Linked DNA regions of Oryctolagus cuniculus. The protein of the gene in region 2 interacts with the protein of the main gene of each other region in a biochemical or structural test. Links are inferred from orthologs where the notes say so. Each region holds a gene or a part of one and is shown on either strand. Other genes may lie near its edges.

The links.
Region 1: the proteins of PLD1 (region 2) and ras-related protein Ral-A-like form a complex in vitro, tested with the Homo sapiens proteins (2 studies listed by BioGRID). The link is inferred for Oryctolagus cuniculus from reciprocal best matches to the Homo sapiens genes PLD1 and RALA.

What each region holds. Positions count from the first base shown.
Region 1 is NC_091443.1:114,067,727-114,072,333, reverse strand, and holds ras-related protein Ral-A-like, read right to left. Parts: upstream 2,994-4,607; 5' UTR 2,856-2,993; coding exon 2,235-2,855; 3' UTR 369-2,234; downstream 1-368. UniProt on the Homo sapiens protein: Multifunctional GTPase involved in a variety of cellular processes including gene expression, cell migration, cell proliferation, oncogenic transformation and membrane trafficking.
Region 2 is NC_091435.1:108,448,368-108,452,662, reverse strand, and holds the start of PLD1 (phospholipase D1), read right to left. Parts: upstream 3,100-4,295; 5' UTR 2,960-3,099; intron 1-2,959. UniProt on the Homo sapiens protein: Function as phospholipase selective for phosphatidylcholine. Implicated as a critical step in numerous cellular pathways, including signal transduction, membrane trafficking, and the regulation of mitosis.

The DNA.
Region 1 (4,607 bases), on a different chromosome or scaffold from region 2:
GGTTTGGTTTGTTGTTGATATTCTATATCCTTGAGTTGCATTGATAGCTCATTTATTTAGTACCTTTCCAGTTTTTTCATGTAGACATTGATTGCTATGAACTTCCTTCTTAACATACTTTTGCTGTATCTCATATCTCATAGGTTTCAATATAATGTATTGCCATCTTCATTTGTTTCCAGAAATTTTTTGATTTCTGTTTGATTTCTTTTATGACCCACTATTCATTCTGGAGCATGCTGTTCAGTCCTTATGTCTAATTATGTTCTAGAGATAGTTCGTTTCTAGCTTCATTCCATTGTGGTTTGAGAAGGTGCATGGAATGATTTCAATTATTTTGAATTTGCTGAGACTTGCTTTGTGACCTATTTTTTTTTTAAAAGGAAGTTTATTGGTCTTTAAATGGCTCAAATTGCAAATAAACGAATTGGGGAGTGGCATCAGCCTAAGACATGTGATGCATCTTTGTCAGTTGGCTTCATAGCACCTCAGTACCCAGGAGAGGAAAGGTCTCAAAGCAAAGTCACAATGTTAGTGGTTAGGACCCCTGGTTAAATAAGACTGCAATGCGTGAGTACACATAGAGACTGCTGGGCCCGCTGGCCAGTATTACATTGGTAACTTTAATTCTGCACATGGCATAACCTATGAAAAATATGAAATGGAAGATGTACATCTCACACCTTTGAGGAACAAATATTTAACATGACAAGCTGGATATAGTATCTAAAGAGCTGAGTTCCTTAAAAGTCTAGTTTTGTTAGCTTACATATACAACCTGTTACCTGGAATGCCTGAACACATCCTTGACTTGTTCAAATTAGGGCTGACTAAAAAGAAAAAAGAAAAAAAAATCTGTTAAAATCAACTGTCCTAATTCCATCCTGAGCAGGAAAAGAAAAGTGACAGTGGTCTGTGTATTTCTCATCAAAATTATGTATCCAAATAGCATGCCGGAACTCTTCCAGTGGCAACATCACACAATAGTGACACCGCCTGACACACTGTGGTCTCTGTGTGCCACACACGTTTTCTGCACTATGCCTGGGTTTGATTGCTTGATGTTATTTTTAGGAAGATATAGCTACACAGTGCTTAATTAGGAACATAAACAGACTACAGATACTCTCAATAATTTCTATAAAGCCAAACTGTAAACCTCAGGAATACAAGTTTAGAAATAAACAGGTGGCAAGCATGCTTATTCTCCCCAAGTGTTCTAATGCCAAATGCCTTAGTGCTGCTAACGTTTGTCCTATGCCCTAATTCCAGGAGATTAAAAAGTAACACTTATATGCTCAACACTCGTAGAAAGTGATTTCTAGGGACCAGCATCTTAGGAAAAAAAAAAAGAGGCTTCACTCACACACAAGGGGTACTGAATCTTCAAAGTCTCAAATTATCTTACAAGTAGATGCTGGCCCTTCATTTCATACCACCTTACAATTTATTAAAGCAGTCAAGAAGCTCTGGAACCTTATTTAAGAACCAGAGTATGGCACACAGTTTTCATCTGGACAGACTCCGAGTGGACAGTTATTTCTCAAGAACCTTCTATACAAAAGCTGTACTCCATACCAGGCATACAGTGTCTCACAGAATGATGAAACTGGGTATTTTTCGGTTTCTAAATTAAGGCATGTTCCAAAATGTCCGTGTACAAGTTTACACCACTTTTCTAAGTTAATCACCAGTTAATTAATGCAGACTCACAGATGAATTACTCTCAGTTTAACTATATGCAACAACCATGCCAACAACTTTTTCTTCTATATTTTGCATAACAATGGTTAAAAAAAGTGGTACAGTTTAACTATCATGTTCACAATTGTCATTTTTCAAGGCAGTAGACCAAGACATTTTAAAATCATATAAAATTTAAGCTTTATAATAAACACCAGAGGAAGTAGCCTTTCCTCCCATTCCCCACCCCACATCTCACCTCTTTATTTAACAGTTCCAGAAAGACTGCCTGAGAGACACACACGCTACATTCAGGACCGTGATAAATGTAGGCAGTTATGAAATAAGCTGAACTTTGCTTCTTGGAGAAGCCACATTAATTTCTTTTTAAAGTGAATCTGACTTTCAGTGCAGTTCCAATTCATGCTTTTAGTGATACATAACAATTTCCAAAATGTTAAAGTAATTTCAGTCAATTGGGCCTTCAATGGCAATGCTTATAAATTATATTTATTAGTATGGTCAAGGTAAGAAAGGAGTTTGGGCTTTGATTATAAAATGCAGCATCTTTCTCTGATTCTCTTGGCTAAACTTTTCCTCTTCTTTTTCCCATTCTTTTCTTTGCTGTCTTCCATCTTTCTGGCTCGAATTTCCCTCATTAAATCAAAAACTACCTTGTCAACATTAGCCCGCGTTTTAGCAGATGTTTCCACGTAGTTAACATTCCACTGGTCCGCTCGGTTCTTTGCCTCTTCTACGGAAACCTGCCTTTTATCTTCTAAATCTGATTTGTTACCAACCAGCAGAAATGGAACATTCTCATCTTCTTTTACTCTTAGGATCTGCTCCCTGAAGTCGGCTGTGGCTGCAAAGGATTCCATTTCCGTAATAGAGAAGACACAGAGGAAACCCTCCCCGCTCCGGAAGTAGTTGTCTCTGATGGCAGCATAGTCCTCCTGCCCTGCTGTATCTAAGATGTCGATCTGTACTTCCTCCCCATCCAGCACTACTTTCTTGCGATAGCTGTCTGCTTTGGTGGGCTCATAGTCCTCCACAAACTCATCATACATGAACTGCAGAGTCAGAGCAGACTTGCCCACGCCACCACTCCCCACCATGATGACTTTGTGTAAGGCCAAAGAATTCTGACCCTTGGGCTTATTTGCAGCCATCTTGTGTTGCAGAGTTTCCACCAAAGGACTAAGAAGAATCTGCACCTCGAGCCGGTCCGCAGCCCCGCGGGCTTCTGAAGCCGTGGCCGCGCTGGCTCCGGCCGGAGGGGGCTCGGCCCTTGTCTCTTTGTGACCTATTTTGTCTGATATTAAAATCACAACACCAGCTCATTTTGGGTTTTTGTTAGCATAGACTATCTTTTTCATCCTTTTACTTTCATCCTTTTACTTTACTTATATTTGTTGATGAAGTGTGTTTCTTATAAGTAACAGATAGATGGGTCTTGATTTTCAATCCATTCAGTCAGTCTGTATCTTTTAACTGGAGAATTGAGGCCATTTACATTCCAGGTGAGTATTGATAAGTAATGACCTGGCCCTCCACTTTTCCATAAATATTCATATCATTTACTTTGGATTTATTTTGTATTTCTATTGGGGTTTTCTGCTTTCTCATTCTTTCATAATGATGGCTATCTTTCTTTGTTTTTGTGTATGGCACATCCTTAAGCATCTTCTGTAAGGCTAGACGAGTTTCGATGAATTCTTTCAATTTCTGTTTGTTATGGAAGGTCTTTATTTCACTTTTATTCATAAATGCAAGCTTTGTGGGGTACAGTATTCTGGGTTGGCAGGTTTTTTTTCTTTTAAGACTTGGACTATATCTCAGTATTCCCTTCTGGCCTGTAGGGTTCCTGATGAGAAGTCAGCTGTGAGTCTAATTAGCGATACTCTGAAAGTGATTTGTCACTTTTCCCTTGCCCAGTTTAGAATTTTTTCATTATGTTTTGCTGTAGAAAGTTTGACTACAATGTGTATTGGTGAATATCTTTTCTAGTCATGTATGTTAGGAGTTCTATATACTTCCTCTGCTTGAACATTTCTATCTTTCTCCAAATTGGGGAAATTTTCTGTAAATATTTAATTGGTTTTCAATTCCTTTTTCTCTTTCCTCTCCTTCAGGAACTCCTAAGACTGGTATGTTGGGTCATTTGATAGTATCCCATAGATTTCCAACACTGTTTTCTTTCTTTTCTTTCTTTTTTTTTTCTTTGACAGGCAGAGTTAGACAGTGAGAGAGAGAGAGAGAGAGAGAGAGAGAAAGGTCTTCCTTCCATTGGTTCACCCCCCAAATGGCCACTACAGCTGGCGCTGCACTGATCCAAAGCCAGAAGCCAGGTGCTTCCTCCTGGTCTCCCATGCAGGTGCAGGGCCCAAGCACTTGGGCCAACCTCCACTGCCCTCCCGTGCCACAGCAGACAGCTAGACTGGAAGAGGAGTATCCGGGACTAGGACCCAGTGTGCCGGCACCACAGGCAGAGGATTAGCCTAGTGAGCATTGGCGCTGGCCTCCAGCATTGCTTTCTAGTTTCTTCTTCTTCTTCTTTTTTTTTTTTTTTTGTCTGTAAGATTTTCAAAGATTCATCTTCTAATTCAAATATTCTTTCTTCTGCCTCTTCAAGTCTGCTGTAAAGACTTTCCATTGCAGTTTTTATGTGATCCATTTTCTTTCATTTCTAAAATTTCATTTTGATTTCTCTTTATATTCTCAGTTTCTTGGGAGAAGTTTTCATTCATTTCTTGTATGGTTTTCTTTAGCTCATAGATTTGCTTCTGATTTTTTTGAGTAATTCTATGATTAATTTTCTAAATTACTCTTCTATCATTTCCTCAATCTTCTCATCTTAATATTCTAATATTTAAATGTTGTTATGTTCCTCTGGGGGTCATGGTGACTTCCTTATTCTTGTT
Region 2 (4,295 bases):
AATCCCCAGATCACAGGGATAAGTGCAACTGGGCAAGGGCCCTGGGATTCCGCAGCCCACAGTCCCAGGGAGCTTCTGCTCTTCCCCACGGCTCACATACCTTGGGCCCTTATTTAGTGTGGTCAAAGTGATGGTTAAATACTGAACACATTCCTCCTCATTGACAAATGCCACCTGTTCCCTCCCAAATACACCTGTGGCTTCCCCAGCCCCTACACCCAGGATCCTTTGTCCCAATTTCCTCACAGCCAAGTGGGAAGGCCTGGCCGGCAGGGGGTTCTCCAGGACCTTCCCAGGGTAGACATAACCCCCCATCCTTGGACATAACCATGCTCCTCTTCTGCAAAGGAGCTGTATCATGTAATTATGTTACATTACTTATGCTGAAACAAGAACCAAAAGAAATACAGAAACCTGAAAAAAAGAACAAATAAATAAAAGGGCATTTATGAGAGAGATAAAACCACAGGTTGTATCTTTTTGGAGAGACACCAATGCCAAAATTCTTGTGTTCCGACTGCCTGGGCTGGGACCCCAGCACTGCCATGTGCCAGTTGTATGGTTTGGCTATGCATCAAAATGCCTCATCTACAAAATCCAGATAATAAGATCACCTACTAAACAGGGTTGTTTGGAACATTCAATATGGTCACATTAGTAAAATACTTAGAATAGTGCCTGATACAGTGTATGTAATGTGTGTATTTCTCCACAAACAGTTGATTTGATTCTGTCCCAAGTCTGTTCAATAATTTAAAAATTAGGAGTTTCACAACAGAAAAAAAAAAATTGAGACTCTGTGAAACACTTATATGTTAGACATTGTTTAATCACCCTGCACTAGCCACATCTGGGATCCAGGTTTGACACTGCGCTGTGAATTTCCGGAAGCAAACACACTGGAATGTGTTCCCACATTTGGGTAAATCCCTTACTAATCAAAAACGTCACGGGTTCACAGGAAACTTGGGTTATATGTTTCTCAGTTTAACCCTGCAATAGCTTTTGACCACACCCTAGCAAATAAATTTTATTTTGTGGTGCTAAGACTTGAGGATTGTAAACATAAAAACAGGCCTTGCAGTGACTCAGCCTAGGAGCCAGATCCTACCTGCTGGATACTCCAGCATCCATCTTTAGTAAATACCCATGGTGGACAGGAAATTGTTACACCAAGCAGCCAGCTGGATCAAACTCACTTCTAGTTAAGGAAAAGGCTCCACCTCCCAAGCTCAAGCATAATTTAAACAGGCTGAAGGAGACACAAAACTGTCCATTGTAGTTTCTGTTAGATATGCAGGGCAGGAAACTGTCAACAGTTTCCTTGCCATTCCTTTTGGTTGATAGCTAACCCTCTGAGCATTCTTCTATACAATCCTAACCAGCTCACAAGCTTATCTTCACCCATCCTCTTTAAAAGCAGCTGCTCCTCTAAAACCATGAGAAAACCTCAAGCCTTGCATAGTAAGAAAACTAAAGCTGCAATACAATCATTCAAATGGTGTACACAAAAAAGAGTGTCTTGTGGCTGGGTGATGGTGACACAAGCAAAACAACGCGAATGTATTTAATGCCACGAAAAGTGCACTTAAAAACAGCTAAGATGGGAAATTGTAGGTGGTGTACATTTTACAATAAAAACATACTAAAAAAAAGCTTAAAAAAAAAACAAACCCTGGAACAGCTAAAGGTAAATGAACTTTAGAACTATAAGGAACACCCACTAAGTCATTGGAAACTTCCAAGGAGCAGGGTTCCCCACCACTACCTATATAAGTGAATCAGCAAAACCAAATGAGCCCTACACAGTCCTTAGCACCACGGTTCATAAATCTCTCGGAAAAGACAGGCCCTCCTCAAAGTCTTCATAAGGCATACTTTTTTTTATCTGGATCGTGAGTTGTACTAGATCTTGAGAAGACAGGCTGGGAGCATATATAATGAAAGGCCCCCCAGAAAAACACTTACAGGCTGCCTACAAACTCAGGCTGAAAGGCTTTGTAATGCACTTGCACGCACACTTGTCCGCACGCCTCCAAAGTTAACTCTGAAAGAGCTGCTTATTCAAGTGGGCAGTGGATCAATGCGGCGTCTGTTAACGGCTCAAAACTGTAGACTCCTCTCCTGGACATTTCCAGGGCACCATCATTATCTAATCCATCTAACATATCTCGCAGTGCTCTGGGTTCCTGCTCCCAGAGGCCCTGGGAGGCCCACAAAGGGTTATCTAAAGTTAGCGGTCGCCCAATAAAGCGAAGCTAACTCCCCATTCTGGGGACTAGACCCAGGGGATGATCAAACGGGGAAACTCCTGGTGTCCTTAAAAATCGACTTGCGCTTAGCGCTTCATGGAGGAAGTAAAGAAAGCACTATGACGAGATTAGGAGAAGCATTCACAGGTGTCGCGGTAGCTCTGCACCAAGGCTCCCGGCATCACACAATCTCACCCAACGCTGGGAGGACGGCACGCCTGCATCTGAGACCCGAGTGCCCTGAGAACAGGCTCTGAGCACACGCCCCACTGCCAGCCAGCAGTTCACCCCAGCCCAGCGTCCCCAGGGCCGCAGAAGTTCGGGACCTGGCACTTCCTGGTCCGTCTAGGATGCTGGTGCCACCGCGCCCCTATCCCTGTCATGCCGCGGGGCTTGCTAACCCAAGCGGCGCTGGACGCCCAGGGGGGGGCCCGTGGCTGCGCGAGTCGGGGTGCACCCTGCAGGGCACGCCCCCTGCCTCCGCCCGCAGGCAGCCCAGGTTGTCAGCACCGGATCTCGCGGCGTCCGCGGGAGGCCGGGGGCTGCTCGGCAGTCCACCGCCCACGCGGCGCTGAGGTCCCGTCCAAGCCGGGCGAGGAGCGGCCTGGCTGCGCGGGCCAGCGGGAGGAGGGACGGAGGGCCAGGGCAGCGGCAAGCCAGCTCCGGTGGGAGCCCCGCGAGCCGCTGCGTCCGCGCGCGGCGCCTACCTGCAGGGCGAGGGGGCCGCGGGCACCTGCGCGCTGGCGGCTGGGAGCTCCCGGGGCTCGGGCGTAGCTGGCACAGCTGGAGGCTCGGGAGCGACGAGGGCGGGCCCGGGGGCGCTCGGCGCGGCGCCGGCGCCCGGAACTCGCGGCGCGGATTCGCCCGGGCTGTGCGGGGGTGGGGCGAAGCGGTGCCGGGCGCCGGCAGGCTGGCGGCCCGGCAGGACAGGCGGGCGGGCTCCGCAGCTGGGCCTCTGCCCCTGGCGTTTGGGTCGCTCGGGGGGCTTTGCCTGTATTCCCCCATCCTCGCGGCTGGCAGCCTCTAAGGGCGGACCGAAAGGCGAGCTTTCTTGCTCGGGGTGCTTTAGCTAAGACGTAGGAGCTCTGTTCATGGCATTTATGAGACTCCTTGCGACTCCCTCGGGTAGGTGTTGTCGCCACTCTACAGGTAAGAAAACAGGCTCGGACCGGCGAAGTAGCCGGCGTCTAGACTCCCAGCAGAGATCCCTGGGGACGGGAATTTGTGTCTTGATGTCTCGATAGCTGGATGTCATTCAGACTTCTTAGCATCAAGGGGGGGGGGGGTGGCGACACCGAGAGCAAGACTTGGAAAATTCCCATTACACCCCTCCTCCCCCGATCGAACTGTCCGAACAGCAATTGTGCTGGTTTTCGTCCCCTGAAAGTGTTAATTAAGGAAAGGAGCACCAGCCGTCCAGTCCCGGCCAAGTGACACAATCTTGCACCCCACCGAAAGGCGCAGCCTTCCCGCGCACCGCTGTGCTCACAGCGTGGGCCGTGTGTGCTCCACCGCCCAGGCTGGCCGGCTTCCATAACGTCTCACTGCACACATGGGGCGGCATAAAACTGAAAAGGCGGTGTTCAGTCCAAGGGAGACGAGGGGCGTGAAATTCCAGTCTGCAACTCCGTTTTCCTGTAACCTGCACTTGGCTCGCCCCTTCCCCCCGCCCCACTACATTTTTCTCTCCTGAGCACATCTTTTCCAGTGATGGAAGAGTCACACAGCCTTCACTCCCTCCTTGCCGACAGACCTGATTGATGCCTTTTGAATCCTGGGGTACTGACAGATTTTTACAATTAAGCACAGGGCCCTCTGGCAAGCTTAGCACAAGCATGTTACCGAAAGCCTGAACACTCCCCTTTCTCAAGTTTTATTAGTCACAGATGATGTGATAAGTTTTATGCGAACGAGTAACTGCACTCTTACAGGCTTGTCCCTAGAAGTTATTACACCTTCAGTTCGAGAAGCAGCAGCCCATAAAGCTGCATTCCTCACTCAGAAGTGATTAGTAAAACATTTGGCACTAGCTACAGCCCTGGG